Lonchura striata: one gene and its partners. The protein of the gene in region 1 interacts with the protein of each later gene in a biochemical or structural test. Links are inferred from orthologs where the notes say so. Each region holds a gene or a part of one and is shown on either strand. Other genes may lie near its edges. The genes, in order: SP1, E2F1, POU2F1 and HIF1A.

Evidence for each region.
Region 2: the proteins of SP1 (region 1) and E2F1 form a complex in vitro, tested with the Homo sapiens proteins (4 studies listed by BioGRID and IntAct). The link is inferred for Lonchura striata from reciprocal best matches to the Homo sapiens genes SP1 and E2F1.
Region 3: the proteins of SP1 (region 1) and POU2F1 form a complex in vitro, tested with the Homo sapiens proteins (3 studies listed by BioGRID and IntAct). The link is inferred for Lonchura striata from reciprocal best matches to the Homo sapiens genes SP1 and POU2F1.
Region 4: the proteins of SP1 (region 1) and HIF1A form a complex in vitro, tested with the Homo sapiens proteins (2 studies listed by BioGRID). The link is inferred for Lonchura striata from reciprocal best matches to the Homo sapiens genes SP1 and HIF1A.

What each region holds. Positions count from the first base shown.
Region 1 is NC_134629.1:8,069,614-8,077,398, forward strand, and holds the start of SP1 (transcription factor Sp1), read left to right. Parts: upstream 1-4,780; 5' UTR 4,781-4,818; coding exon 4,819-4,825; intron 4,826-5,260; exon of another isoform or gene 5,261-5,499; intron 5,500-5,808; coding exon 5,809-5,903; intron 5,904-6,472; coding exon 6,473-7,785. UniProt on the Homo sapiens protein: Transcription factor that can activate or repress transcription in response to physiological and pathological stimuli.
Region 2 is NC_134619.1:12,541,470-12,548,904, reverse strand, and holds the start of E2F1 (transcription factor E2F1), read left to right. Parts: upstream 1-4,425; coding exon 4,426-4,617; intron 4,618-5,287; coding exon 5,288-5,378; intron 5,379-5,947; coding exon 5,948-6,167; intron 6,168-6,530; coding exon 6,531-6,683; intron 6,684-6,798; coding exon 6,799-6,913; intron 6,914-7,019; coding exon 7,020-7,224; intron 7,225-7,435. UniProt on the Homo sapiens protein: Transcription activator that binds DNA cooperatively with DP proteins through the E2 recognition site, 5'-TTTC[CG]CGC-3' found in the promoter region of a number of genes whose products are involved in cell cycle regulation or in DNA replication.
Region 3 is NC_134604.1:14,930,924-14,938,472, forward strand, and holds the start of POU2F1 (POU domain, class 2, transcription factor 1), read left to right. Parts: upstream 1-4,539; 5' UTR 4,540-4,660; coding exon 4,661-4,778; intron 4,779-7,549. UniProt on the Homo sapiens protein: Transcription factor that binds to the octamer motif (5'-ATTTGCAT-3') and activates the promoters of the genes for some small nuclear RNAs (snRNA) and of genes such as those for histone H2B and immunoglobulins.
Region 4 is NC_134608.1:6,158,445-6,165,743, forward strand, and holds the start of HIF1A (hypoxia-inducible factor 1-alpha), read left to right. Parts: upstream 1-4,297; 5' UTR 4,298-4,451; coding exon 4,452-4,486; intron 4,487-7,299.

The DNA of each region.
Region 1 (7,785 bases):
CCACGGCCCCGCGGCCGCGCCGGGCCCCCGCAATTACCCGGTATTTATACCCGGCCGGACGCCGGGACCTCGCCAGGGCGGGGGGGACACGGAGCGGGGGGGCTCCGTCCACGGGCAGCCGGCCAGCCACCGTCCGTCTGTCCATCCCTCCCTCCATCCTCCTCTCCATCCCTCCTTCCCATCCCTCCCCCGTTTATCAGCGTGGCTCCGGAGCTGGCACGAATTTGAGGGGGCTCAGCCGCTCTGTCCCAAATCTGAGGGGATCTCAGCTCCACCATGACACGAGTTTGGGGGGTCTCAGCCCCCTGAGATGAGTCTTGGGGGGGTCTCAGCACGACAGGGGTTGCAGGGCCGGAGGTGTCCCTGTCCCCATCCCGGTCCCCGGGGCCAGGAAACGCTCCGTGCCCGGTGCGGGGGTCCCGGCAGTGCTGTCCCCCCCGATCCCCGCGGTGTCGGCGGGGGCACCGCAGCCCCTCGGGGTCGGGGGGGGGAAGCGGAACCAGCTCGGGGATCCCCGCGTCCCCCCACCCCTCACCTGGCGCGGTGTCCCCCGTGTCCCCCCGGCCCGGCCCTGCCCCGCCCGCCCTCCCCGGCCCCCGGATGTTTCCCTTGCGGTCGGAGGCCCCGAAATAGCGCAGCCCCCGCGCTGGGTGCGCCGGCCACGGCCGCCCACGGGCCCCGCGGGACCGGGGGGACCGGCGGAGGCTCCGAGGGCTCGGAACTGGGCCGAGCTCCCCCCACCCAGCACCACCCACGGGGGGCACCCGGTGTTCGGAGCCCTCCCGGGCATCCCAGAGATGCCCCTCAGCAAGGCGGGGCACAGGGAGGGTCTGCGGGGCAGGAGGAAAGCGGGGGGAAGGTGGGGGGCAGGAGGAGCCGGGGGACGTGTGGGGACACGGGGCTGGACGGGGACAGGGACCTGCAGGGACAGAGGGGCACCCGCAGTGGGGCTGGGGGGCTCCCACCCACGGGGAAGCCAGCGCAGGGTGGCCCCGGGGCTGAGCTGCGCCCGCGGCCCCGGTGTTTCCTCCCACCCTTTAATTATCCCGGAATTATCCCTGGAAATAACTGCGGGGGGCGGGGGGGGAGACACGGGCACCGAGCCGGACGGACCCCCGGTGGGGACAGACGGACCGGGGACAGACCCCGGGCAGGCCCCGGGGGACAGGGTGGCCTTGGGGGGACAGTGGTGTCCCGGAGGTACAGGGTGGTCCCGGGGGTACAGGGTGGTCCCGGGGGGACAGGGTGCTCCCGGGGGGACAGCGGTGTCCCGGGGGTACAGGGTGGTCCCGGGGGGACAGGTACAGTGGTGCCCCGGGGGTACAGGGTGGTCTCGGTGGTACAGGGTGCCCCGGGGGGACAGGGTGGTCCCGGGGGGACAGGTACAGGGTGGTCCCGGGGGGACAGGTACAGTGGTGCCCCGGGGGTACAGGGTGGTCTCGGTGGTACAGCGGTGCCCCGGTGGTACAGTGGTGCCCCGGGGGGACAGCGGTGCCCCGGTGGTACAGGGTGATCCCGGGGGGACAGGTACAGTGGTGCCCCGGTGGTACAGGGTGCCCCGGGGGGACAGGGTGGTCCTGGGGGGACAGTGGTGCCCCGGGGGGACAGGGTGGTCCCGGGGGTACAGGGTGCTCCCGGGGGGACAGCGGTGGCCCCCAGCACCGCGGGCACCCCGAGCCCGCCCCCCGGTCCGTGTGCTCCCCCCGTGTCCCCCCCGCCATGTGGCTCCCATTGCGCTGCGGTGCCGAAGCCACATCAGAGCGGTGGCAGCGGCAGCCGCGGGGGCGGCACCGGGGGCCTGGCCCCCCCTCCGGCTGCTGAAGGACCCCCGCAGGCTGCGAGAGGAGCCCCCCAAGCTGCCACCGTGCCCCCTGTCCCCTCCAAGCTGCCGAAACCCTCCCATGGAAATCTGGGGTACCCCACCTGCTCCCCAAGCTGCCAGGGACTCCCCCCACGCCTGGACACCCCCTCCCCCAATATCCCGGGACCCCTCCACGCTGCCAGGGACCCCCCTGACCCTGGGACCACCCCCAGCCTGCAGCGACCCCTCCCCAGCCCTGAGCCCCCCAGGATGCCCCGGGTGTCTCAGCCCCCGGTGCCTTGTGTCCCCCCCCGGTCCCCCCGGGGCTGTGACCCCCCGGTCCCGTGCTCCCCCCCCGGTCCCCCGCCCGTCGCTGTCCCCGGGCCGATCCGCCCTGGCTCGCGCCGCGCTGCATTTCTGCGGTTCCCAACCCAAAATTGCTGGGAGTCGCCCGGCGTCGCCCTGATTCCTCCGCGGCCGCGACCTGCCGGGGGAGGGGGGGACCCAGAGGGACAATCGGGGGGTGGCAGCGGGGGTGGGGCACCCCAGGCTAACCCCGCTGCCCCCCCCGGCCCGCCCCAGTGCTCCCAGTTTGCCCCCAGTCCAAGGCTGAGGCTCCTCTGTCCCCGTGCCCTGAGCCGCCCCGGCCAGGGGGAGGCGGGGACAGCGACACGATGGGGACAGGACAGGCCTGGGGACAGCAGCAGAGGGAGCGCAGGGACAGTGCAGGGTTGGGGACACTTCTGGGGACACGGGACAGGACAGCACCCGGATGTGAGAACCCCGGGGACAGGACAGGGCTGAGGACAGAGATGGGGACAGAACAGGGCAGGGATGGAGGCACTGTGTGGGACAGGACAGGGCAGCTTTGGGGACACCCTTGGGGGCACGACACGACGGGGGACACTGCTAGGGACGCTCCTGGTGCCAGGACAGGACCAGTGACAGTGCTGGTGCCAGGGCAGGACCAGTGGCAGTCGGTGCCCAGGTCCCACTGTGGTGGGTGACAGTCGGTGACACTGTCAGTGATAGTCGGTGACCGTTGGTGCCCGGGTCCTGTCATGGCGGGTGACAGTCGGTGACACTGTCGGTGACACGGTGACACTGTCGGTGACACTGTCGGTGACACGGTGACACTGCCGGTGACACTGTCGGTGACACTGTCGGTGACACTGCCGGTGACACGGTGACACTGCCGGTGACACTCGGTGACACTGTCGGTGACACTGCCGGTGACACGGTGACACTGCCGGTGCCCGTGGCGCCCCCGCCAGGCGGCAGCAAAGCCTCGGGCCCGGGGGCGGCACCGCCCGGCCGCGACCACCGGGGGGCGCGCGGGGACACGGGGGAGGGGTCCCGGGGCAGGGAGGGGTTAATTGGGGGTGTTAATTGGAGGAGGCCCGACGGGGCTGGGGGGCCATGGGTGTCCCCAGAGGGGGCAGTTACCGGAGGGGGTCACCGGGACAAGGACCCGGCTGGGATAACGGGGTGAGGGGGGGTCTGACGGGCCAGGACCTGCCCTCGACCCCCCAGCCCAGCGCAGCCCCCGGGCTCAGCTCCGGTGGCAGGACGGGGACAGTCCCGGTGACCACCCCAGGTGCCACCATCGCGGGTCACAAGGGGACACCGAGTGACCCCCATGGTCCGGGGGACAGGGCAGGGACAGGATGGGGACAGGGCAGGGACAGGACAGGGACAAGAGGGGGACAGGGCAGGGAAGGGACAGGATGGGGACAGGGAAGGGACAAGAGTGGGACACGGCAGGGACAGGGCAGGGACAGGGAAGGGAAGGGATAAGGCAGAGACAGGGCAGGGACAGGGAAGGGCCAGGGTCAGAGCCAGGTTGTCCCCAAGCCCCGTCGGGTGCGGGGCCGAGGCCGCGGGGCCTTCCCGGGCTGCGGGGTGGGAATTGGGCCGAAAACAGCGGGAAATGGGAGGGTCACGGGGGGCGATTTTGACGGTGGAAAGCGAAACCAAGGCCGGGCCGTGTCCCTCGCTGTCCCTGCCGCCCCCAAAGCGCCCCTTTTGCTGTGAAATGAAGGATCTGGGCCCCAAAGCCCCCAGGCCGCGCTCCCACGGCAAGGGCGGCCGGGCTGCCCGCTGTGTCGGGACAGGGCGATGTCGTGACAGGGCTCTGGGCTTCACACAGCTCCTGAGGACGTGTCGCGCCGCCATGGCGGCTGTCGCGACACGGCCGAGCCGTCTTGCGGCACGGAGCGGGGACTCGAGGAGGGAAGAGCCGCACGCAGCCCGCGGTACCGAGGCGGGGACAGCCCCGGCCGGGCCCGGGGAGCGCGGCCGGCCCTGAGGGAGCCGAGCCCAACATGGCGGCGCCGCCATCCGCCGCGCCGTCCCCCCAAGGGCGCAGCCCGGCCGCTGGCCCCGCCCCCCCGCGGCGCCCATTGGCCCGTTTGAGACCGAGCGGCGCTCTGATTGGCTGCGGGCCGCGCCGCGGCTGCCGCCTCCGCGCTCGGATTAGCGGCCGCTACCATCACTATCGGCTCCTCTCCCGCCCCGCGGCGCGGCCCGCGCAGCCGGTTGGCGCGGGGCGCTGCCGGTGACCGCCACGCCCGGCCTCCCGCGCCCCATTGGCGGCGGCGCACGTTCATCACGCCGCGGCCCGCGCCGCCGCGGCCGCGCCCATACGGGGTCTCCCTGCGAGCCCGCGCGGGCGCCGATTGGCTGAGCCGCCGCCCGCCCCCTCCCCCCCGCGCCCCCATTGGCCGCCGCCCCGCCGCGCTCCCCCTCCCCCACGGGGCGGGGTGCCGGGGGCGGGGACCGCCCGCCCTCCTCTCCCCCCGCGCCGCACCGCCCTCTCTTCCCATTGGCCGCGCTGCCCGTCGCTCCGCCGCTCGCGCGGCGCCCATTGGCTGCGGGGGCGGCGGGGGCGGGGCGCGGGGCTGCGGCCGCGGCGCGCGGCCCCTCCCTCGGCAGCCCCTCGGCGGCACCGGCGGGTTCGGCCGCTCGCCCGCCCGCGCCCCCGCCCCGCCCCGCGCGCCCGGCCCGGCCCCGGCACCATGAGCGGTAAGGACGGGGCCGGGGCCGAGCGCCGCGCGGGGCCCCGGGCACACGCACAGGCGGCGGCGCCCGCCCGCTCGGAGGGGCCAGAGGCGGCCCCGCCCCGCCGGGCCGGGCCCCGCCGGGCCGGGCCTCGCCGCGCCGCGCCGGGGGGACCTGCCGGGGGAGGGACCCGGGGGAGGGGGGAAGGCCTCGGGGGAGGGACCGGCGGCCGCGCCGGGCAGGGCTGGAGCGGAGGAGGGGGCGGCGGGGAGTGATGGGGAGGCCCCGGGGAGCGGGGCTGGGGGCGGGGGGGGGCGGCCGAGATCCCGGGGGAGGGGGCGCGGGGACGGCGGGGGAGGCCGCGGGGGTGGGCGGCTGCGGGCGCAGCGGCCCGGGGGCTTTCCCCCGGAGCCGGGCACGGCGCCCTGCGGGGGCGGATGCGGGAGCCGGGGGCGGGGGGGCCGTGCGGGAGCCGCGGGAAGGAGCGAGCGGCCGGGGGCGTTGCGCGCCCCGTCCCCGGTGCAGACCCCGGTGAGGGGTGCTGGGGTGACGGCAGCAGCGGGGCGCAGCCCCGGTGCCCGGCGGAGGATGAGGAGGCGGCTGAGCGCCGGCAGAGCGAGGACTTGGTGGGAGAGGAGCCCCCCGCGCTGGGGGCGCCGCGGGCGGGCAGCCCCGGGCCGGGGATCCCGCGGCGGGAGGTGCGTGCCCCGGCCGGGCGACGGGAGCGCCGGGGAGCTCCTCGGCGGGGGCCAGGGAGTGTCCCGGGCGGCCGGGGAGGAGCCGGGCCCTGGAGCGCGGCCGGGACCTCCCCCCCTGTCCCGCTGCCAGCTCCTCTTTGGCAGCTCCCCGCGCTCCGCAGCCCCTTCCCGGCGGCGCCGGCAGCGCGTGGTCCCCCCGCAGCCAGCCCGCCGTGTCCCCTCCGGGCCCTGCCTGGCCCTGCCGAGCCTCGTGCCGCTGCCCTGCCCCAAAATGTCCCTAACCGGGGCTGTCCCTTCCCTCCTGCGCAGACCAAGAGAGCACCGAGGAGATGTCGGCTGTGAAGCCCGACAAGGGCGAAGGCGACGCCAGCAGCACGAGCAGCGCCGGCGGTGGGGACACGCAGGTGAGTGGGGGAGGATCGGCCCCGCTGGCCCCGGGGAGCCCGTGGCAAAGTCCAGGCCCGGGCTGAGCTGTCTGCCGGGCCCGGGCAAGCGTTTCAGCCCGGGCAGGAAGAGGAGGGTGAGCGCTGCCAAGCAGCGCCGGTGCCTTCCCCTCCTCCCCGGCTCTCCTCGGAAACACGCAGTTCCCCTGCTCCCGGTGACACCACGGCCCCCGCTGGCCCGTCTCCAGCTCGGGGAGCCCGGGAATGACCCTCCTTCCTGGGGGTTCGTCGTGCCTCAGGGGGATTGCCCGGCTCGGCAGTGGAGGAGCCCTCTCCTCTCTTGGCTTTCCCGGGCAGGCTCCCTCCCAAAAGGCTTTTCCGTGTGGGTTCAGGCTGTCCCGGCCTGTCAGCCTTGTGCCTGGCAGTTGTATTTTTCCGGCTGTGGGTGGGTTTGTTCAGGAAGGAGTGTTTATCTTTTCCGAGTATGCTCCTCCCTGTTTTCTTAAGTTGGTTTTTTAATTATTTTTTTTTGTTTCCCCGTTGTTTTTTTTTTTTTTCACTCCGGGCCTGCCCCTCGGGCCGCCTCCCAGCCCCGTAACTCCTCCTCTCGTCCCCAGGAGTCACAGCCGTCCCCGCTGGCCCTGCTGGCAGCCACCTGCAGCCGCATCGAGTCTCCCAATGAGAACTCCAACAGCTCCCAGGGCCAGCAGGGTGGGAGCGGCGAGCTGGACCTGAACGCGGCCGCCGCCCAGCTCACCCAGTCGTCCAACGGCTGGCAGATCATCTCGGCAGGCTCCAGCACCCCCACGGGCTCCAAGGAGCCGGGCAGCAACGGCAGCAACGGCGGCGACGCCTCCAAGAGCCGCCCGGTCAGCACCGGGCCCTACGTGGTCACCTCGGCGTCCGGCCTGCAGAACCAGCAGGTGCTGACGGGCCTGCCGGGCGTCATCCCCAACATCCAGTACCAGGTGATCCCCCAGTTCCAGACCATCGACGGGCAGCAGCTGCAGTTTGCCACCACCCCGGCGCAGGTGAACGTGCAGCAGGATGCCTCGGGGCAGCTGCAGATCATCCCCGGCTCCAACCAGCAGATCATCACGAGCCGTGCGGGCGGCAGCAACCTCATCGCCATGCCCAACCTGCTGCAGCAGGCCGTGCCCATCCAGGGCGTGGGGCTGGCCAACAACAGCCTCTCCGGGCAGACCCAGTACGTGGCCAACGTGCCCGTGGCCCTGAACGGCAACATCACCCTGCTGCCGGTCAACAGCGTGGCCGCCAGCCTGGCCCCCACGTCCCAGACGGGCACCCTCAGCAGCTCGGGCTCGCCGGACAGCAGCTCCCAGCCGGCCACCTCGGGGGCTGCCAGCAGCTCGGGCAGCACGGCCACATCCCAGGCCAGCTCGGGCGCTTTCTTCACCAACGCCAACAGCTACTCCACCACCACCACCACCAGTAACGTGGGCGTCATGAATTTCTCCACCAGCGCCACGGTGGGCACCAACGTGCAGTCACAGACCCCCCAGAGGGCCAGCAGCGTCCCCAGCTCGGACTCTCTGCAGACCCCGGTGTCCGGGGTGGCCCTGCAGCCGGGGCAGCAGAAGGAGGGGGATCAGAGTCAGCAGTCGCAGCAGCAGCAGCAGCAGCTCCTGATCCAGCCACAGCTGGTCCAAGGAGGGCAGACGATCCAAGCCCTCCAGACCACCCCGCTGTCTGGGCAGACCTTTGCCACTCAAGCCATCTCCCAAGACACCTTGCAGAACCTGCAGCTCCAAGCCGTGCCCAACTCCGGCCCCATCATCATCCGCACGCCCACGGTGGGTCCCAACGGGCAGGTGAGCTGGCAGACCATCCAGCTGCAGAACCTGCAGGTGCAGAACCCCCAGGCGCAGACAATCACGCTGGC
Region 2 (7,435 bases), on another chromosome or scaffold:
GGTGTGAGCTTTAAAAACAGAGAGGAGGAGATGGCACTGCTGGGTCTGGCGTGCCCAGCATCCAAAAGAGGAGCTGACCTGGTGTCCTGTGACAAGGGCTGTGTCTTCTGTAAGAGATGCAAGGGAACAAGCACTGCCTGGCTTTTGGGACTGGGATCTGAGAGGAAACACCTAAACCAGGGCTGCCCCTTCTGCCACAAGCCAGCTTTAGACACTTCTAGAAGCTTCCAGAAAGTGGCTTTGGTTTGCACAGAACAACGGTGACGGCTCAGGTGGCAGAGGTGAGGGACTGTAGGGTCAGGGCAGAACTGGGGGGGCTCTGGGCTTTCCCCAGCTGTGTGTCCCCACCACAGGCAGATTGTGCCACACTGCCAACTCACCATCTTGCGAACAAACCAGGGAACTGGGACAGGGACATTGGCAGGAGACCCCAGGGAAGTCCTGCTCTGCTCACATGTGACACACTCCCGGTGGGAACTGCTGGAGGTTGGGACTGCCTCTGCGATGGCAGGGACAGTAAATGTGCTCCTGGGACACCCACAGGCTGCCCTTAACCCAGCAAGGGGTTTGCATCCTGCAGCTCTCCTCCCCCCTGCTCCCGCTGCCAGGTGATTTTCCAGCGCAGGTACCAGCTGTGCTCCAGCTGCAGACTTCTCCCAGCACACAGCCTTGCTCTGAGTCTATCCCACAGTGCCAAACCCACCCAAACTCAGCGGCTGCCACGGCACGAGGTGTCTGAGCAGCCTTCCCACTGCTGTGCAGGAGAGAGCGGGGCTGTGCAGGCAGGGATGGGCAGACAGGGATGTGCAGGCAGGGATGAGCAGGCAGGGATGTGCAGGCAGGGATGGGCAGGCAGGGATGAGCAGGCAGGGATGGGCAGGCAGGGATGTGAAGGCAGGGCTGAGCAGGCAGGGATGGGCAGGCAGGGCTGTGCAGACAGGGATGAGCAGACAGGGATGAACAGGCAGGGCTGTGCAGGCAGGGATGTGCAGACAGGGATATGAAGGCAGGGATGTACAGGCAGGGATGTGCAGGCATGGATGTGCAGGCAGGGCTGTGCACGCAAGGATGTGCAGACAGGGATGAACAGGCAGGGATGAACAGGCAGGGATATGCAGACAGGGATGTGAAGGCAGGGATGTGCAGACAGGGATGTGCAGACAGGGATGTGCAGACAGGGATATGAAGGCAGGGACATGCAGACAGGGCTGTGAAGGCAGGGATGTGAAGGCAGGGATGAGCAGACAGGGATGTGCAGACAGGGATATGAAGGCAGGGACATGCAGACAGGGATGTGCAGACAGGGATGTGAAGGCAGGGATGTGCAGACAGGGATGTGAAGGCAGGGATGAGCAGACAGGGATGTGAAGGCAGGGATATGAAGGCAGGGACATGCAGACAGGGATGTGCAGACAGGGATGTGAAGGCAGGGATGTGAAGGCAGGGATGAGCAGTCTGGACTTTATCGGGAGCAGCACCTGCCGCACGGATAATCTCGGGAGCACGTCCGCGCTCCTCAGCGGGGCTGCCGGGGGAGGCTGCAGTTGTGCAGGAGACAGAATTCATCTGCTTCCCCTCACCCACATGCCAGAAAGGCCCTGCCCGTCCTTCTCCCACCAGCGTTCGCCTTTCATTTGTCTCCACAGCCGCCCCTTTTCGCGCCGCCGGCGCTGAAAGCCTCGGAGAAGTCGAAGCGCAGCCTCCGGGAGAGGGGGCAGAGCCTGCTCCCCCCGAAGAGCTCCTGCATGAATTAGGGGGGTGAAGGCAGCCTTTGTGAGCCGAGCGGGAGCAGCTGGTGCAGCAGCTGTGTCCCAAACCCTGCCTCATCCCAGGAAGCGCCGGGCTGAGGCTCCCCAGGGATGGGGAGAGCACCGCCAGCCATGCGCTCCCGCCCGGCTGCTGGGGTTGCCTTTTTCCCCCTTCCCCAGATGGAAGAAGCATTAACTGTGTGCAAACATCTGGTCTAACTGTTGCTTATGCTTCCTAGTAATGATGATATTGCAGTGGAAGGGCTCTGGAGAGTGGGGCCCGGAATATTAGAAGGGCCAAGTGTTAATTAACTATATTAATTTCCTTTAAGCAAGGCAGCGTTTCTATTTGCTCTCTGCTGATGAAGAAATGAGGCACAGCGAGTTTATTGGATTGGTCACGGACATGCACCATGTTACTGCTGTATTTAAGGATGGAGGGACCCAGGGAAATCACAGCCCTGCTCCACACTGGCCACCCCCAGAGGAATTGCAGCCACTGCCAAAGCATCCAGCATAAAATCCTTTAAAGCCAGAAACCTGTTAGGCCAGCACAGGGGCACTGCATGTCAGGATCTGCTCCACAGCAAAGAGGTTAACTCATCCCTGCAAATGCCTCCTGCATCCCACGCACTGCTGGGAAAACAGCCCTTCTCCTGCAGTGCTGGGAAAACAGCCCTTCTGCAGTGCTGGGAAAACAGCCCTTCTCCTGCATCCCGGGCAGGTCAGGGTTGGCAGCAGGAGCCAGCACTGGCTCACAGCTCTGCCTGGCAGCAGCAGTGGGCTGGGGGTCACTGTGCTCGACCACCAACCCCCGGGGGCACGTGGGGGGCACAGAGGGGTCAAACCCTGAGCTTGGCTCAGCATGGGTTTGGGTGCTTGGATCAGACCCCTCTACAAACTTTCCTCATGAGCTTCCCCATGTCTGGGCCTTGCAAAAAGCCTAATCTTTAAATGCTTTTTAATTTTTTTTTTTTATTAGCAGGATGTACTTTTTTCCTTTTTAATTTTGCCTCCTCATGCAGCAGGAGGTTATCAGTGTCCTGCAGACAGGAGATACTGGTGCTGGGAGCTGCCTGTCCCGTGTCTCATGGGTGGACTCTCATCTTTCTCAGCATATGGGGCCACTCCCGGCTCCGTCTGCCGTCCCTGTGTCCCTGCCTCTCCCCAGCCACACGCTCCCACGGCCGGAGATAGCGCCTGGCACGGTCAAGTGCAGGTTGTGCTCCCGGCAGAGCTTTTCCTCTGCCCTCTAAGGGGTTATCAGCCATTCCTGAAGGAGCTGCCGAGATCCGCAGCTGTTTGCAAACAGAATGCCGTGAATCCCCGGGCAGACGGATGGAGCAGATTGCAGCATCCCAGCCCTCCCGTGTGCGCTGGGCCCTGGAGCAGCGTCAGAGCCCGAAGCCTCCAGATTTGTCGGACAGCCTCAGCCGTGGTCTCGGGGCTGCTTCCACAAGGGAGGTGGACAGCCCTGAACCGAGCCCTTCAACGCCCCAGCGCCCAGACAGAAATCCTGCCCACGGCCCGCAGCACAGGAGAGGAGCCACTGATGTCCCCACTGCGAGGCATTGCTGCGGGGGGCCGGGCCAGGCTGGGCTGGCTGTCACCCCCGGGCAAGGGGAACACACGGGGGGCAGCCTGCGACGCCCCGCAGAGCCCAAAGCCGCCCTCTTCCCCAGCAGTGACACCCGTGGGCGGGCGGAGTCCGCAGGGCAGGGGAGCGAGCTGAACTTTGCTCGTGGGTGCGTGCCCCGTCCTCCCGCGCCATCCGGAGCGGGGAGCGGCCGCGCCCGCAGCCGGAAGCGCAGCACCCCGGCGGGGCTGAGCCCGGGCCGGGACCGGCTCGGCCCGAGCCCTGAAATCCCCACGGCTGGGAACACCGGCAGCCGGGGCCGGCTCGGAGCGAGGAATCCGCGGCGGCACACGAGGGGGACACCCTCTTGTCAAACAGGGACACGGGAGGGGACACCTCGAGAGGGACACGGGGGACACAAAGAGGGACACGGAGGGGACACCCCGAGGGGGACACGGGGGACACAAAGAGGAACACGGGAGGGGACACCCCGAGGGGGACACCGAGACACGGAAGGGGACACCCCGAGGGGGACACGGGGGACACAAAGAGGAACACGGGAGGGGACACCCCGAGGGGGACACCGAGACACGGGAGGGGACACCCCGAGGGGGACACGGGGGACACAAAGAGGGACACGGGAGGGGACACCCCGAGGGGGACACACGCAGCGCGCGCCGCACCCGCGCTGCGCCCCCGCCGCGTCCCCGAGCCGCGCTCCCATTGGCCGCCGCCCGGGCGCGGCGCCGCTGATTGGCCGCCTGTCAGCGCGGCCCCCGCCCGCCAATGGCCGCGCGGCACCGCCCGCCGCCCCGCGCGCCGCGGCCAATGGCAGCGCGTTCTCTCCTCCCCGCCGAGGCGGGCGCAGCCAATGGGCGGGCGGCGGGGCGGCTCGCGCCGCTTTTCGCGGCAAAAAGGATTTGGCGCGCAAAGGCGCGCGGGGCCGGCGCGCCGAACAATCCGGCGGCGGCCGCACCGGAGCCGGAGCCGGAGCCGGAGCTGGAGCGCAGCGGCCCCGCGCCCGCCATGGGCCGCGCCCCTGTCCGCGCCCTGCCCGCCGCGCCGCCCGCCGCACCGGCGGCACCGGCTGCCATGTGAGCCATGGCGGCGGCGGGCGGCGCGGCGGGGCTGGCAGCGCTGCTGGGCAGCGCCTCCCCGCACCTCCTGATCGTCTCCGCCGCCGAGGAGCCCGCGGGCGGCGGCCACCCCGATACCGACCTCCTGCTCTTCGCCACGCCGCAGCCCGCCCGCCCCGGCGCCGCGCCCAGACGGCCCGCGCTGGGCCGCCCGCCGGTAACCCCCGCGAGTGGGATGGGGAGCGGGCGGGGGCCGGGCGGGGGCTCCGGGGACCGGCGAGCCCGGGCTGTGTTCCGAGCTGTGCAGTATTGGGCCTCGAACCGGCCTGTAACGACCGGGCCGTATACCCGACCGGGCTACACCGAGCCGGGCTGTACAATGGGCCCGGCTGCGTACCGGGCCGTGCTATGTAGCGAGCCGTGCCAAAGCCAGCCGGGCTGTACAGCGGACAGGGCTCCGTACCGGGCCGGACCGTATTTCACCCTGCTGTGCCCCGTGCTGTGCCATATGCCGTGCCCTGCTCCGTGTCAGCCCGTGCCCGGTGCACCCGGCTGTGCCAGGCTGTACGGCCGGGCCGTGCCACGCAGCACCTGCCGGGCCGGCCCTGCCCCGCCGCCGCTCCGGAAGCCGCAGGCCCCGGCGCCGGGCCGTGCTTGGCCTCCCCAGCCACGGCCCGGTCGGCTTTGGGGCGCTCCCCGCAGCGCGGCGGGGCCCCGCGGCTGGGCCAGCCCCCATCCCTGCCAGCGGGGTGACAGCTCTCATCAACCCCTTCCTGCCGGGATCCGGGGTGTCTGTACCCCACTGTGCTGTGGGGGGTCCTCACAGAAACCCTTCACAGCAGTGGGGCCTGGGGCGGCTGTCCCTGTGCTGACCCCGGCCCTTGCAGGTGAAGAGGAAGCTGAACTTGGAGACGGATCACCAGTACATAGCGGAGAGTTTGCCAGTGAGCCGGGGCAAGGCCAGGAACCCCGCTAAAGGTACCGGCTCCACTCCCCCCGGCCCCCTTGCCAGCCCAGCTCAGAGCAGAGGTCCAGCAGCCCCACTCTGCTCCCCCAGGCTCATCCTGGTAGCTCCTTCCAGGCCCTTTGTGTCGGTGTGGATGGGCTGTTCCCGGGGCTGGCCTGCCTCTGTCCACCCTCCACACTCACTGCTGTGCCCTGTGCTGGTGGCATGGCTGTCCTGCCCTTGTGCTGGGCACCCCTCCGGCTCTGTCCCTCCCCGTGGGATGGAGCTGTAGGTGCCAGCATGGTGTCAGTGCAGTGTCCCAGGTGGACCTGCTGTTATCTCCCCCCAAGCCCAGCCTGGCACTTGGTGTCTCAGTCACAGCTGTGGTCACAACGGAGCACAGGTGTCACAGCTTGTGCCAGGTGCTGCAACATCCTTCCTACAGGGGATTTGGGCAACTCACCCCGTTGCCCTGAGATAACAGATTGGGTTTGGGGTGCCAGTCCTGGTCACTAGTCCACAAGCCACCTGCAAGTATGGCAGGAGTTTTGTGACCTTTCAGCTTCAGCTGTGGATGAAACTTGTCCTCCACGTCTGGCAGGGGCAAAGTCTCCTGGAGAGAAGTCCCGCTATGAAACCTCCCTGAACCTCACCACCAAGCGCTTCCTGGAGCTGCTGAGCCAGTCCCCAGATGGTGTGGTGGACCTCAACTGGGCGGCCGACGTCCTGAAGGTGCAGAAGAGGCGCATCTACGACATCACCAATGTCCTGGAGGGCATACAGCTCATCACCAAGAAGTCCAAGAACCACATCCAGTGGCTGTATGTCGCTGGCTCATGGGGCTGTGCCTGGCTGTTCCTGGGGTGGGGGAGCTGTCTGGGAGGAGGAGGGTCTTACCTGGGTGGAGAATTTCAGGGCGGGGTCACCAGAGCTTCTGCTGCAGGCCAAGTGGTGGCTCCCTGTGGGGACGGCTGTGCTCAATGGCAGGAGGGTCCTGCGAGTCCCCCTGGGACTCCCCGAGTCACCCAGGGGAGGGGAGGGCTGCATCCAGCCTTGGGGGAGCAGCACTCTGCTGCAAAATCCCTGCAGGGCTGGTTCCCTGCCGGGGGGGTGGGATGTGGCCTGGCCTGGGTGGGGCCCTGGAAGCTGTGGGAGCGGCTCCTGATGGACACGGTGCTCCCCAGGGGCAGCCAGGCCACGGTGGGAGCGCCAGGCCGGCACCGGCTGCTGGAGAAGGAGCTGCGGGAGCTGCAGGCGGCCGAGCGGCAGCTGGATGACCTCATCCAGATGTGCACGGTGCAGCTGCGCCTGCTCACCGAGGACCCCGCCAACCAGCAATATCCTTTGGTTCTGGGGTGGGGCTGGCTGGGTGGGGCTGTGCTTGAGCCGCGGTGGCACAGGCAGGGAGTTTCTCAGCCCACATCCCCGTGTCCCTTCCTTGACCCACCCCACCGCAGCCTATGTCACCTGCCAGGACCTCCGCAGCATTGTGGACCCCGCGGAGCAAATGGTGATGGTTATCAAAGCCCCCCCAGAGACCCAGCTGCAGGTCTCAGACCCAGCAGAGGTGAGTTGGGGTCACGTTCTGCTCCTGCTGTGCCCTCCCTGAACAGCCCCGGCTGTTCCCTGGGTGTTCTTGTGCCACCTTGTCTCACTCCTGTCCCCTTCCCCAGGCATTCCAGGTCTCCCTGCGAAGCACTCAGGGCCCCATTGATGTGTTCCTCTGCCCCGAGGACAGCTCTGGGGTCTGCAGCCCCGTCAAGAGCCCCTTCAAAGCCCCTGCAGAGGACTCTTCTCCCAGCCATTCCCAGCCCAGAGCCTCCCTGCTCCTGCATCCTGCCCAGGATGTGAACATGCCGCTGCTGCCTGGAGAGCAAGGTGGGCCTGGGGACACGAGGGAGCTGGGGACACGAGGGAGCTGGGGACACGAGGGAGCTGGTGGGATGTCACAGTGGCTCTCATCAGCCCCTCTGCCGTTGGCACAAGCAAGGAGCTGCCATGCTGCTCAGGCACCCCAACAAGGCAGGGAGGTGGGAAGGCAGCAGCTCCATAGCCAAGAAAGCTTTTTTTGGGGTTTCTTTGGAGACTA
Region 3 (7,549 bases), on another chromosome or scaffold:
AAATGTTATGACAATAATATTTACTTAGACAACAAGAATTGACTGCACTGGATTTGTAGCCTTTGTTATTGAAAAGAAAACTTTGAACAGGATGGAAGAAAAACTTATGTAAATATCATATGGGTGCTTTCTTATGTGCTATGGGTTGAAGGCATTAAGGGGAGGGCAAAGTGTTCAGATGATACACCTGAGTGGCACAATTAGCTGTGAGTTTCAAATAAGTCTATTTGCTTGTGGAAGTTATAATTCTGTATTTTTTGAATAAGGGTATTTATTTTATTTTCTCTCATCATATCACTGCCCCCCTTTTTCTTTCCCTCCTTGTGTGATGGTATTGTAAATTTGTTATGAACACAGTTTTATTTCTCTGAAAAAAAGACTTAATCCATGGTAGTTTCTACCTTCTGTGGACAAGAATAAGTTGCATTAAAAACCAAACCCATAAACAAACCCTTTTATATTAATGTATCAGGTGCTAACAAGTATCCGCTGTCCTGCACTGATAAGATACATTAGCATTCCTGCTTAGCTCTCCACATGCTTAATTTCCTTCCAAAATGTACACAAAGGAATTTTGAAAGGCATTTTGTGTCATTGAAAGTTTTAAAGGATAGTTATGATTTGAGTTTGTGAGAAGTAAAATTAGATGTAGATTAAAATTCCAATTCATAGCAATTGCCTAATGACCAGTAAGTCTAAACCAGGCCAATTTTATTTGACTTTTCCAGACAACTGCTCTTTTTGGCTTTCAGAGCTAACTCACCAATTTTCAGATAAAATCAATTCTGTTAGCCACAGTCAAAGGTGGTGGCTAAAATTAGTTAGCTTGCAGCCCTAGCTATGAACAGACTGCTGTCTGTCCATAATTACTCTAAGAGGATTGTGCCAACTTTAATAACAGTTTATTTTGTTGAAGTGTGTGATTTTTACAATTTTTTAAATAACACATTGGAGTTCTGTTTTTTGAAATTTTTGTTAGGTTTTGTTTGGGTGGTTGGAGACTTGGAAATATGTAGTACCTTCAAGGTAGAATGTCCTAGGCATTGATACACTAATGAAGGCAGCATGCTAATGTTTCAGCTAATGCTGTATTTCCTTTCCCTGTATTTTGTATTCCATTTGTATGTATTCCTTTGCACTCTACTCCAAGTACACTGTTTAAAAGGGAAATAATGAGTTGGCTTATTGGGTAATCACCAAGTGTGGCCCTGAAGTTTGCAAAGGTCATGCTTGTCACTGAGCTGGATAGGGCAGAAATTTCTTAGCTGTCATGGAGGCCATGTAGTAAATGACATTTTAGTAATATATGGAAACACATCCATATAAAAAAAACCAAGAGTTGCATAGTCTACAGGTAAAAATGATGTTCCCTTTCCAAAAACAGTGGTATTAAGGAACCAGGTACTGTCATTATAACTGAATAAAGAAAGTGATATATTCATGGGGCAGACTGCAAAAGAAGACATTCATTTGAAGTGGTATGGTGTGGAAAATACATAGAAAGTGACAAAAAGAAGTGAATGGGGTAGAAAGAGTCTCCTGAAATGTTATCTGCAGGTTCCAAAGTGTCTGGCGAAAGAAAATCTGCTTTTGTCATACCTGGCTCCATGATAGTTCCTTTGATTTTAAGGAAGAGTTTGAATAAGAATGGGGGGGGGGGGCAGAGGGGGGAGGAAATAATTATGTAAAAACTGCAGAATTGGCTGAAGAGGAGAAACGAGAGACACATTTTTTGAGATATCTGTAGTTTTATGGGATATTTCAAGCTTTTTACTTATCACAAGGTGCAGCATTTTCTCTTCTGAGAGGTGTCTTTGGAGGAAAAATGAAACTGTGAACAAAGCCCAGAGTGCTGTTTTGCTTAAACATGAGTACTAGAAGTATGTCCTTGGATCAGGGTGTTAAGTAACTTTTAATGACTAGCCATAAAGAAAAGAATGTGCAGTGTTGTGGCAGAACCTAAAGAGAACATTAAACGAATGTGTATTCCACCACTGGTTTTGGAGCAGAGTGATAGTCACCATTCTTCTCCAGACATTTTCCATTTTCCTATTTTACTGCAGCAGAGATTAAAAGATTGACAATGGTAAATTTAAACAAACAAACAAACAACAACAAAAAAAAACAACAGAGCCAAACAAAAAGTGGCTGCCCCATCCCTAGAAGTGTTCATAGCCAGGCTGGATGGGGCTTTGAGCAACCTGGTCTAGTGAAAGTTGTCCCTGACCAGAGTAGGGAGCTGGACCTGTGTGATCATTAAAGTCCCTTCCAACTCAAACCATTCTATGATTCTATGAGCTTAGATAAAAGATAAGATAATAAAATTGCCAAAGAATGAAGAACTCACTGAAAGAACAATTTGGTTTGGATTTTTTGTGGTGTTTGGTTTTGGTTGGTTTGGGGAGCGTTTTTCTTTGGTTGGGTTTTTGTTGGCCAGTTGTTAATTTGACAGGTCAACACATAATTTTTTAGTTCAATTAGGCTGTTAGTGGATGTTGCAGCTCCAGTGGGGGTTTGTGTGGGGGTTGGTGTTTGTGAGGCAGATCAGCCATGGCCACGCAGTGCGCGATGCTAACGGTCAGGTCACTTCCTGCCCCCTGGGGCTGCACCTGTGTTCCACCAGCCCAGCGCCCTCGGTCTGAGGAGAGCACTGCTGTCCTGCTCTGCTGCTGCCTCAGCTCAGCCCCTTGCTTTCTCAAGTGCTTGGTTTGTTCCACCAGTGCTGTCCAGGCTCTTCCGATAAAGCAAACGGATTATCTCCCAGTGCATTCCAAAAGTATGTATGCAGGAGTGAAGTTTACTGAAGGTCTGCGAACCATGAATGTGTGCCTCAGAGGTCTCAGTGGGACATATGAGTGAGTGGAAAACCAGGTTGGAAACAAGGTATTAGGAAAACCTATTCAGCACGTGCAGTTGTCTCCTTGTAGTAGGGAGCACCTTCTCCCTCTCTTGCAATCTTTTTCAAGTGTAGATCACTTATGTTAAATATATAGCTGGGAACATCTTGTGTTAAGTAGAGATATGAACCTGAACAGAAGAAGAGGTCAAGCGTGGAAATAAATTCCAGTCAGTACTGGATGATTGAGAAGTCCCTTTTCTCTCACTCCCTCTTGTTTGTAGAGGTGGTGCTTGAATTCACTTGAGAAATGAGGAGAAGAAAAGTACAGCTATGGTATTTTTAAAGGAAAAACAACTTACTCTTTAAATTCACATTAGCACCTGGAAGTGGGTGGCTCAACCCTGTAATCATCTGCATCATCACACTACTTTTTCCTGACCAGATTATGGAGTAATAAATTTTGTGATTGTCGCATCATGCTTGAATTTTTATACAAATGTTCTTGCTGTTTAGGACACAAGTTTTTGAGTGGCCAACAAACTATCTGAAATGGTTTAATAGAACATCATAGTTAGCCCACTTACTTCTCTGGACCACTTTTGGAAAAGAAGATTGATTTCTCCATAGACCAAAGCCTCTTCTCAGTTCTCCAGTGCTCCAGTGTACTTTTGTGGTCACAGCAGCAGGCACGTTCTGGTTATCACCAAGTGGTTCAAAGATGCAGCGTGGGTGTGACGTGCCCCTTTGAAAAACCATAGCTCTGCAAATAAGCTTTCTTTAGCCATATTGTGTGCATGCTTGAAGGGATTAGTAATAGATTTTTGGTTTTTTTCTTGGAAGTCACTGGAAAGCAAAAGACTAAATCTATTTTGATTTCACTCGGGATAGATTAATGGGTGTCAAATGTTACACAATACTTGACATATCCACTGCTGCTAAGTTGGCCGTGGCAAAGGGATTACCCGATAATGAATCACCAAGCTCTTTAGCCGTTTAAAGGGAATCGTGCCACTTCCTTGCCCTGGCAGGACTCTCTTCCCTGCCTGGGACCTTGCTGAGACAGTGCGTGTTCGCATGTGGAAAACTCCACGCAGATGCGCAAGCACCGGCTTGACAGCTTTGTGTTCAGCTTCTACCTTGCTAATTGTTTTCGTGGGATTATTTGGATTGTGTGGAAAGCTTTTTCCAAATCCCCTTTATTACTGATGTTATTGTTGCCAGCAGGAATAAGATTAAAGGTGCTTAAGTCTGTAGAGTTGTTTCTAATTTGTACGTGTCATTTCAGTGGCATTTGAACAGAACTCTGTCTCTTCCCCTCCCTGATCCCCTGTGGTACTGTGCTTGAGTTAGGGCTGAGAAGCCAAGCTATTGGAAGAAAATTCATTTTGTTCCCTAATTATTATGCTGGCACTCGGGAGATAATTTTTCCCTTCATGCACTGCCAATTAATATGCAAATGAGCTGATAAATATTTATACCGTGATTTAAATTATGCAGGGAGCGCTTTCAGTGTACTCTGCAAATGAATTGTTCATGGACTTCAAAGTGCTGGCTGCTGTGCTAACGAGAGGAGATTTGCATAAGGCCCTAATCAGGCGCATACTGATTAAGCTTCATTATGGAAACTGCCAGCTGCAATCTTTGTTTCTATTTTATTACAAAAAGGGGAACTTTTCACGCTTCAGTCGCCTTGACAATGTCAGACACAGCTAGTAGGAGAGACTAAAACTCCACACAGCAACTGAAGTTTCCCTGTTCGGTTGAAGATTGCTATGGTGTAACTGAAGTTGTATTTCTCCCCCCACCTCCCCACTCCCTTTCATGTTCAGTCAGAGCAGTAGTGTAGATTTGATAGAAATTGCCATTCTCCCGTTCCTTGGACTATCTGAACCTGTAGAGGATACCACAGCAATGCTGGACTGCAGCGACTACGTTCTAGGTGGGTACCAGCTCAGCTCTTTCTTATGGTCACCGAGGCTGGGAGATTGACTATGCATAGTGGCTTAATCACATATGCAGAAGGTATTTGTGGGGCTGAAGCTCACCAGTGAATCGGCAGCAAATAGCTGCCTGCTAGGTGGATAGCTCGATCTGTACCAGGGAAATACATGCTTTGGTTTGTTTGTTTGTTTTCCCTCTTTTCCCTTGCTCCAGGAGAATTCGTTTCCTCTACACAGGCTTGGGTGATATTAATTCAGACCTTTTGCTTTTAGGATTTCAGTCTGAGAAGCATTTGCCTTCTAACAAACACTGGGCTTGACTTGCATATCTGTGTGTTATGCATTTTAAGGCATTAAAATGAATGAGAGGGAGCATAAGTGTTGAAAGAATTTAGTAACTGTATTGAACCATTCCACAACAGAATGTATGTTATGTGTGTGTATTTTTAATATAGCAAGGTTCTTCGTGTGTAATAGAAAATAAGGGGGAGTGCACAGTGGTTGCCATTGATACGGTTGCAAGCTGTGCTTAAGGTTACTGGGATAATATATTTCCTGCGCTGAGATTCCATCAGGACTGCGGAACAGACATGCCATAATTCCTTCTTTTTGTCTTTTAAAGTTATTTATAGTAATGGATCATCTCAATTTTACAATAGGTTTTATTTCTTTTCAAGGCTTTTCCCCCCAAAAGCTCAATGTATATATATATATTTTTTTTATTAGTATTATTTTCATTCCAATCATATAAGTTCATATAAGAACATATATCTCTAAGTAAAAGGATATTTTTTTTAATGCTAAATTTTAAAGCAGACGTTTGAGTATGTTTGTTTCTGAATATGATGTGGTTTTTGAAAATTAATTTCTAAATAATTCTTGTCATGTTTTCACTCACATTAAACTTTGTTTCTCCCGTGCATATAAATGAATAATTTTTGCTGGTGCACATGGAATATTAGGCAGTTCCGCTTTTACTTTGGGTGAAAGAAAACAGTTAATGTTATATAACATGTTAAGATTTTTCTTTGCTTTGCCAGCTGTGTGCAGTCATTATAACACTTCAGGCTGGTCCGGTGTCCACTGCTGAATGCCTTTGGAAATATTCCTGAGGGTGTGTGAAAGGCTGGCACAGCACTGCCTGGCGACACCTCAGCCCTGCTAGCAGAGTAGCAGCATGGAATGTATTCACTCCTGAGAGTTTGATTTCAATCATGCACCTGCTGCTTTCGATCCTTCCTTCTGGGGAGTTTGTTTTTAGATAATGTTGGCAGAAGTTGTAGCCCAGGGCCTTTATTTAAAACCCAAGGAAGATCTAAAGGAAGAAAAAAAGGTGAAGGCATTAAGGCTTGGGGTTTTTTAAGCCCACTTCATTTGTTTATTCTTTTAAGTTTGAAGCAGAAATTGCATGAGCACATACAAACCAAGCAGCCTTTTTATTCGACATAGAATGAATCAGTAGGTTGAGTATCCCGCGGATATGAGCCTGTTTTGCTGGTAGCAGTTTTGTGCTTCAGATGGATGTCATACCATTTGCAATGGAAATAGCTGTATTGTTCTTGATGCTTTACATGCAGAAGGCTCACAGATTGAACAAGAAATAGTCAGCTGGTGAAATAATGGATGCTATCCTTCGCTTGAACCTGAGCACTACCAGAAAGATGTTTCTTCTTCTAACTTGCTGCTTTTTTCAATAGCAATGTTTGAGGTCTTTGTTAAGGATGGACCTTTACAATAAAATATTCTTCATTTAGACAGGCTTTTGGTAGTTAAGTAAACTTTGTGTATGTCTAGTACTAAAAAACCTATTCTGGAAGGATATTTTGCAGCATAGCCTGACAGAAAAACGTGTCCTGGCTTGCTTTTTGGAAAGAGGTCTGTACAGTTATAACTTCGTGTGACTGAGCAAACTTGCTCATCATGTAGGAAGGCTTCTTGTGTGAGCTTCCTCATAGGACAGAACAGTGACTGCCCTGCTTGAGTTCTGGGCACAGGACAGCTGTGTCCCCCCTCTGGGTTTAGTTTGCTTTGCTTATTCTATCATTAGTAGCCTGCACCTTGGCTCTAATACTTCAATTCCTGCAACAGACGTGGTTCAGCAAATGGATTCCATCTTTCTGAGAGACAACTTTCTCAACCTGTGCTCTTCCCTTTTGTGGTCAGTTGTATCTTGAGTTCAAGCTATTCTTCTGCTCTGGGCTTAAAATTACATCCTGTGTCCAGTAGCCTTATGAGTTAGCCTGGTTTCCACAACAAAATGTATTTGACTTGTAAGAACTCTTTGCTCATTTTCCTGTTGGATGAGGGAGGACTCTTCATATTTGTGTCCAAAGCAAAGGACTCCCATTCGGTCTTCCCTAAAGTGAAATTTCAGTAGTCATCTGTGTGTAAAGGAATGAATGAATACTGCTTATCAAAAGCATGTTGCCTATAATCACTGTAAGCATCAAACCACATTTTGTTGCCTCAAATCATTCTAGGTGTGCTGTTGCCACAACAATAAACTCAATTTGAGATATATGCAATGTCTAGATAGAAATATGGATCTCTCAGCAGAGAGGGCTAAATCAAGAGCAGACATTTCTGTATAGTCAGTAGAACCCATGTTCTGTTTCTAGAGTGTGAAACATGCCATCCATATGTGGAAAATGACAAAATAAGGAGCTTGGAAGCTATAGGTTCTGTACTTGTAACCTTAGCAGAATTCTTGTTTTTCAAGACTGAATTTGTAGCTTGAATGTGCTAAGCAGAGGTTGTGAAAAACGGCGCC
Region 4 (7,299 bases), on another chromosome or scaffold:
GACCTCGTGGAATTCCTCTGTCAACTCAATACTTCACAGTGGTGCTGTGAGCAAGACAGGTTTTTTGGTCAAATATGGATAGGCTAGAATATACCCTTCATTATAGCTCAATTACTGAACCAGTGAGTGTTAACTCCCTACATGTAGGTGATGCCTTAAGTTGTAATTTTCATATTTTTCAGATTCTGTACGGCATTAGTAGATAGCTCTGAACTTCATAAAAATTGTTAGCAAGTTCTCTTCGCAGTTTAATTAGAAAAAACAATCATTTTCCAGCCCAAGAACCAAGGACACCATTGCAGCTTCAGCCCCAAAAAGTATAAACAACAGGAGGATAGGACTTAATAACCTGAAGCTGTAATTGAAAGCCGTTCCCAATATGGAAATGGACCAAAACTTATAAAAGTGTGAAAATTCGTGACCCATAATCCATCTTGGGTGTAGTGTTGGCCAGGCTTTTGTGCTGCCCAAGGTGTATACTTTGAAGACTTAAAATAAATATGTACTTTCCTTTAACACTGTCTAGCTTTTGTTCTAGGTAGCCTCTCAAGGCAGCATAGGGGGCTCTACAATGAAGCAAAAGCCCAGGAAAGCCAGTGCTGAGGGCAGGTTGCTTGTGACATCCCCAGTGATGTGAGCTGCCAGCTCCAGAGAGACAAACAGAGTTTCTCTTTAACACCCTCTGCCTGCCCCAGTGAGTCCCTGCTCAGAAATGGTGAGTGGGTTTGGGAGGTAAGATGTCTTAATTAAATCCCTGATTTTTTTTCCCACCGCAGTCAGAAGTTCTGCCAGTCGTTATTGATAGGGATGCACTTGGATCCTGAGAGTAAATGCCTCCAGAGCCCATCGCGGTGACACGTGTCTCTTCAGCAAACAGATCCGAAGCCAGGGGCAGGAGCACTTCTCACATCTTCAGCCGGACTTGTTCTGCTGCCCAGTCGCTGCCGCTGTCCTCCCGAGCCGTTCGCTGACTCATCAGCTTGTGCATTTGCCCTAATTAGTCATTTGCAAGCACCATTGTGCTCAGGAAGTTCTCTAACGTAAGCGTGAGTGGGAACTTAGAGCAGCAATAAAGGTCAAGAAAAGTGACTAAGGCATCATATACTGGAATAAGTTTCTGTTATCAGCCACTGGGAAAGTGGGAAAGAAAGTGTATATGCAGACTATTAGAGGAGTGACACAAAAGTTTAATAAAGGGAAGGATGTGTGTGAGGGAGAACATTTGCTTAACATCTCTCAAGAACTGCTACAGTATGAAATGCTTAATTGCAGAACAAGTTTCCACTAACACCCTTCAGAAACACAGCTGGGTTTTGAAGCATTATTCTTTATTATGAGCTCGGGGTAAGCATGTTTGGCATGAAAGAAATGTGTCTCGTAAGGAGACCACAACACTTACTCACAACTCCCCAGACAGTTCATGCTGGGAAGTCTGATACCTTTGAACAATCATTTGAGCAGCATTAGCAAAGTGTAGACTGGAATTTTCTCCAGTGATTTTTACTCAGGGGTCACCAACACATCCCGAGCTGTTATGTCCAAGTGATTTAAAGTGAGCAGAACCTTAGGTAAGAATACTCAATGATAAACCCTTTTGATGTATTGCACATTATGTGAATTTGGATAGTAGTAATAAAAGTGCACAAGTGAACCCTAAGACATCCATGCTTATAGGCACTAAAATTGTCATTCAAAGAGTCACTAGAGTGAAAACACAATCCTATTGGGTAGGGTAAGGTGGGTTCTGTAGCTTATAACTCAGCAGTCCCTGGTCCAGACTGCATCAAGTGCCTCTTGGTCTTTGAAGGGCACTGAGATTGCAGTCAAAGTAAAGAAGAGGCTTTCACTTTCAAGTGTGCCAGGCTCACCAGGAACCACTTCAACCTCAATCTGAGCGATTAGAGAAGCTGCAACGGCTGCTCTGAGTTGCACCAGCCTCCTCTAAGGCACGGGAAGTTCCTCTGTTATCACCCCTTCACTACCAAAAATCCCCGGATGCCTTCCAGGGGCTCTGGTGGGGAAGGTGGCATTGAGCTGGCCTTGTCATTTCTGCACCCACCAGGAGATCCCTCCCCATTTAGCCAGAAAATCCTCTAGGGGCTGTTATGGTGACTCTGTGAACAGACTAAAAAAACCTACACAAGCTGCAGTGCACAACTGAATTTCTTACTATGTCTGAGCTGCCTAAACTTCATTTTGAAAGATAAAGTTGTCTGTGAGCCCTTGGGGAGGGCTTCTTGGTACTTATGCAAGACACTTGAGGTTGAGTCTTGCTTAGATTGTTTTTCTTCTCAAGGCTTCAGTAAGCACAGAACAACAGAAATATCAGTAGTTCACAGCCACACTGCCATGGGCTATTGTGTTGTCACAGCTCATAAGCAAAGCAGAGCTGGGCTTTGTCCATGTTTGGATGCAAAAACCTTGAGGGAATAAAAGTAGTCAGAAGCACCTGTGCCTCTTCCACATATCTGACTGCTGTGGGCAGAAGCAATCATTTTCATACAGGAACTCCTTGTGATTGCTAACAAATGTCACAGTCACTTCTTTTTCTTCTTCTAAATAAAAAAATAATAATAATAACCCCCCCAATACAGAACACCCATGACTGTATGCCTAAACCAACCTGGAAGTTGGGAATCCACAGCAGAAGTGTTAGGAAGGTGCAGTACTGAAACACCATCACTTTGCCCTGCAGGTGTTTCTTATGTGCACACAGCAGCTAAAGAATGCCACTCATGCCTGTCAAAGCTGCTTTTTTTTTAAAGGTATCATTACTGCTGAGCTGCAAACCGAGTAGTCTCATAAGGTTCAGCTCCAGATGGTCACTTGAAGTCCTTGCTAGTAGGAACCCACAAGATGTAAAGGAACGCCTGAGCTCTGTGGGGTCACTCCACCTGGAACTGTGCCTTCCCTGCCTCCCCAGAGTGCTTACCCACACATGACCCTGAGCTAAGGGTACAGAGCTAAGGCTCTTAACTTTAAATGTGTGGGCTCTGCCCCAGTTTTCCTCTCCTTGCTCTCCCATGGCTGTATCCTGGCTCCTGATCCAAGAGGCCACTTGCCTGTGTGGCCATGTCAGTGCCAGGTGTCCAGCCCCTCCTGCTGTGCCTCCAGGGCCAGCTAAGGTCAGCAGGAGATCCTGTGGCTCTCAGGTGAGCAGTGCCTGAGGCCAGGCTTGCCATGGGGGGCACAGGGAGAGGAAAATTGGGCACAGGCACTGGGAAAATGGCATTGGATCTAGGCCAGCCTGGGTGGGTGGCAGGGAAGGCAGAGGGGTCACAGTGCCTCAGCACAGCCTCCTGGCTCTGCTGTTGGGTTTGCTTTGGGTTTGGGAAGTTGTAAAACTTGCTCGAAATGTGCTTAATTACCTGTCGGTTCCCCTTCTGGGCTGCCCGGCTGTTGAGCTGACTGTTCCCTTTAATTAATGTGAAGTTCTGAACCCTTTAACTGGAAATGGACTAGAAAATGTCCTGTGAGGAGTGGCTGCGGGACCTGGGTTTGCTTTGTCCAGAGAAGAGGAGGTGCAGGGGGTGCTCCATCACTGTGTAGAACTCACGGAGAGGAGGTGTAGGGAGGTCTCTGCTGCCGTGGCTGCAGTGAGAGGACAGGAGGACATGCTCTTAATGCACGATAGGGAAGATTCAGGTTAGGTAGAAAATAAAAATGTCTCTGTTAGGATGGTCAGGCATGGGAATAGGCTCTTCGGGTATGGTGGAGTCACCATCCCTGGAGGTGTTTAAGAGGCGCTGGGGATGCGATTTAGGGGCTGCAGGAGCAGTGCCAGGTGTATGATTGGACTGGATGATCTTAAAGGTCTCTTCCAACCTCGATGTTGTAGAAACATCCCGGGCTTTTACTGTACTACACCTCTGGGAGAGGCAGCGGAGTCTAGCACTGACCAAAGATGAAAGGAGGCGATAAAGAAGGGACCATCTCCTCGCGCTGTGCCCACGGGGGTGCGATTTGCGGCGGGACCCGCACGGGCCCCGCCGGCGGGCGCGGTGGGGCCGAGGGGCGCTGTGGGGCCGCTGTGGGGCCGGCCGGGAGCGATCGGGCCGCGGTGGGGCCGCGGTGGGGCCGGCCAGGAGCGATCGGGCCGCTGTGGGGCCGCGGTGGGGCTGCGGTGGGGCCGGCCAGGAGCGATCGGGCCGCGGTGGGGCCGCGGTGGGGCCGGCCGGGCCCGGGCCCGCCCCGCACGCAGCGCCGCACGTGAGGCGCGGCCCCCGCCCAGCTGAGCGCTCAGCTGACCCCGCGCAGGGGCCGGGCCGCGCCGCCGCTCCTCACTGGCGCAGCGCGGGCCCCGCGCCGCGCCCGCACCTCCCCGCAGCCCGTGCCCCGATGCTCTGAGCCCGCGCGGCCCCACACCCGGCTCGGCGCCGCCATCTCCCCGCCACCGCCATCGGAGCCTCGCGTCCCAGGGAGCCGGCGGGAGGAGAAGCCGTCCCGCCGCCATGGACAGCCCCGGCGGCGTCACCGACAAGAAGAGGTAGCGATGCCGCGCCGCCCCCCGCCGCTCTCTGCTGCCGGGCCCCGCCGCCCCCTGCTTTGTTACCGCCGCCCCCTCCTCGTCCTCTTCCCCGCCGCCCTCGCCCGGCCCGCGGAGCGCTCCGCTCTTCCATTCCTCCTTCTCCTTCTCGTCCACGTCGCCATTTTGTCGGCGGGGGGAGCGGGCCGGGGCTCGGGGCCGGGGGGAAGCGCCCGGGCTCGGCCGCGCTGCCCGGCAGCGACCCGGGGCCGCTCCGCTCCCGGAGACGGGCGGGCAGGGATCGATCGTGCCCCGTGCCCGGCGCGCTCCCAGCCCGCCGTGCCCCGGCTTTGTGCGCAAAAGGGCCGGCTCGCATTCTGGAGATACTCGGCTTTTAAAAAATCCCCAAAAGTCGCGCTGGGGAGGTGTAAGGGGGGAGGGGGGGGCGGATGGACAATGTGAGTTGAGGAGTATGAATAATTCACCGAGGATTGTAAGCGCAAATTAGAGGAAAGGGTGGGGGGGAATAAAACCCTTAAAAGCCTTTGTTAGGCGGTGAAGTTTAAGGAGCCGGGGGGCTCGGGTGAGCAGGTCCCGGCGGTGGGGCTTTGTGGAGGGATTAATTGCCGCGTTCGCCATCTGCAGAAGGTTTGTTTATATGGATATCGATACCTTTTCTCGCCTTTTAATTATTCGAGATGCGTTTTGCCTGCCCTTGTATCCAAGGGTCATCTGAGCAGATTAAGCGCAGTAAGTGTTCCAGCGTGTAAGTTGTGTCGGGAAGGAGCCTGGCCGCTTGTAAAATGGATGGTGAGCTTTGTGCCGGGCTGGGAGGAGGCGCCGGCGGCCTCGGAGCGCCTTTGGAGCCGGTGCCGGGGAGGGATGGGAGAAGCGCCTCTCGGTCCGGTGAAATCCCAGCACGGGGGCACCCGGGGTGGCATTCCACCTCTGGTTTCTCTACTCCGGGAGGATGGCTCCTGAGGAGCCTGTGAGAAAATGTTGCAACCAAAATGATTAATCTGCTCTTTGCTCTGATGCCCTAATTTAGTGGCAGGTCTAGGAAAGGGGTTTGAGAGTTGTTTTCTGAGACTTTTATTTTGGTTTATTGGGCTTTTTTGTTTATCTTTTTTATCTTACTTTTGCCTTTGAGCATTTGTTATTTTTAACTTACCGTTCTGCCCCACTGGAAAACTTTTTCTTTTTCTTTTTTTATTTTTTTTGAATTGCCTTATCCTGGATGTAATCTGCTTTCTTCAGAATGCAAGAATGAGTATGCAAAGCTCATCCTTCCTTCCTAAAGGCAGGGCTTAAGAAAGAGAATTTGTTGTTTTCTGTTTCATGCAGACAAAGTTCAAAGTCAGGAATGTTTCTTATAAAGGAATATTCAGATTACTCCTGTTGCAGGGTTTTAATGGAAAACATAGAGCTGTGTCTGTGGTACATTCATCCTGGGGGCTGTGGATGTACAGTTGAGCGAAGATGGCTAAGCAAAAAAAGGAAGGATATGAGCTCAGCAGAGAACTTCATGAAAATAGAAATGCTTGCATTTCTCAAAAACCTGGGTTGTTTTTGAAGGGTTTAGGTTTGATAGTGTCCATATTCAGAATACCTTGAAGGGAGAAGTCCTTTACGTCCTTTTCTTTATCACCTTTGATGATAAAACTTTGGCTAATTGTATATACAGTACACCTCAATTTTGGCATGGGTTAAGATTCTTTTATTCCTTGCCTCTCCCTCTGCTTGTATGTGGATAGTGTTTATCTCTTGATAGTTAATGTAAAGCTTCTTATTCACTTAATTATATGCTGTGAGATTCAGAAAATATGGAATTTGCCCAAGTTTATGTCTCAGTCTTTAAAGTGAAGTTTGGTCATAGCAGTATCTGAAGGTGTGGATTTTTATACTGGCCTGTTGAGTCAATTTTTTGATGTGGTTCCAAGCTTCTTGTATATGTACAGGGGTCAAGATTCCCTAAGAAATCAAGTATCACGCCATGATTAGATACTGAATTATTTGGGTTTTAGCCATTCTTCAGTAGTTGTATCACTTTGATGTGCTCCTGGGTTTTCCCCCAGGTGCTCAAGGACTGCGTTTCTATGCATGGAGTGGGTGAAACAGAGTTGTTGGGAGCTTTGTTTGCTCATCCACTCTCATTTGAACCAAATTTAAGGCTTTTGGTGAGAAGTATGGGATTTTTCTCAATATTCTTTTAACAAACTCCAGTGTGCAGATGGCTGATGTAGTGAAAAGCTTTTCCTCGGGTCTGTGCTGTGACACTTCACTATTAGCAGAGGAATTCTAGTGTCTTTTTAAGTAAACAGTCATTTAGGGTTATGGATTAGTCCTTACTTTTGTAGTGGCTTGCAGCTCGTAGGTAACGCGGAGTCATTTTGTTAGTGTGCTGTAAGTCTTTAGAACATAAAATACATATTTTAAATGCTATAGGTACTAAATAAATATGGTAAGTGATTTTTGGAGCATTCATTCTGGGTCTTAAGATGGTATAAGCCAATGAAATTTAATATTCTGACATGGGTGCCTTGCAGAAGAACGTCAGCTTTTCAGTTCCTCAGAGTTGGGCCTTGAAACTTATTTTTTAGTGTCTAAAGGGGATGATTTGGAAGATCAGGGATTTTCTGCTGGATTTTTGCCACCGAAGTCCAGCTCCAGAATCTGTTTGAGAAGCCTGTACCCTGTGCTGATGGCTCTGAAGTGCAATGGCTACCCCTGTTTTTTCTTAAACGTGTATGAGGTCTTTAGGATTGTGTGTACCAGTGCTTTTGTCTGTTAATTTCTCTCAGCGCTGGGGGAACTGAGCCACCATTGCTAGAGTC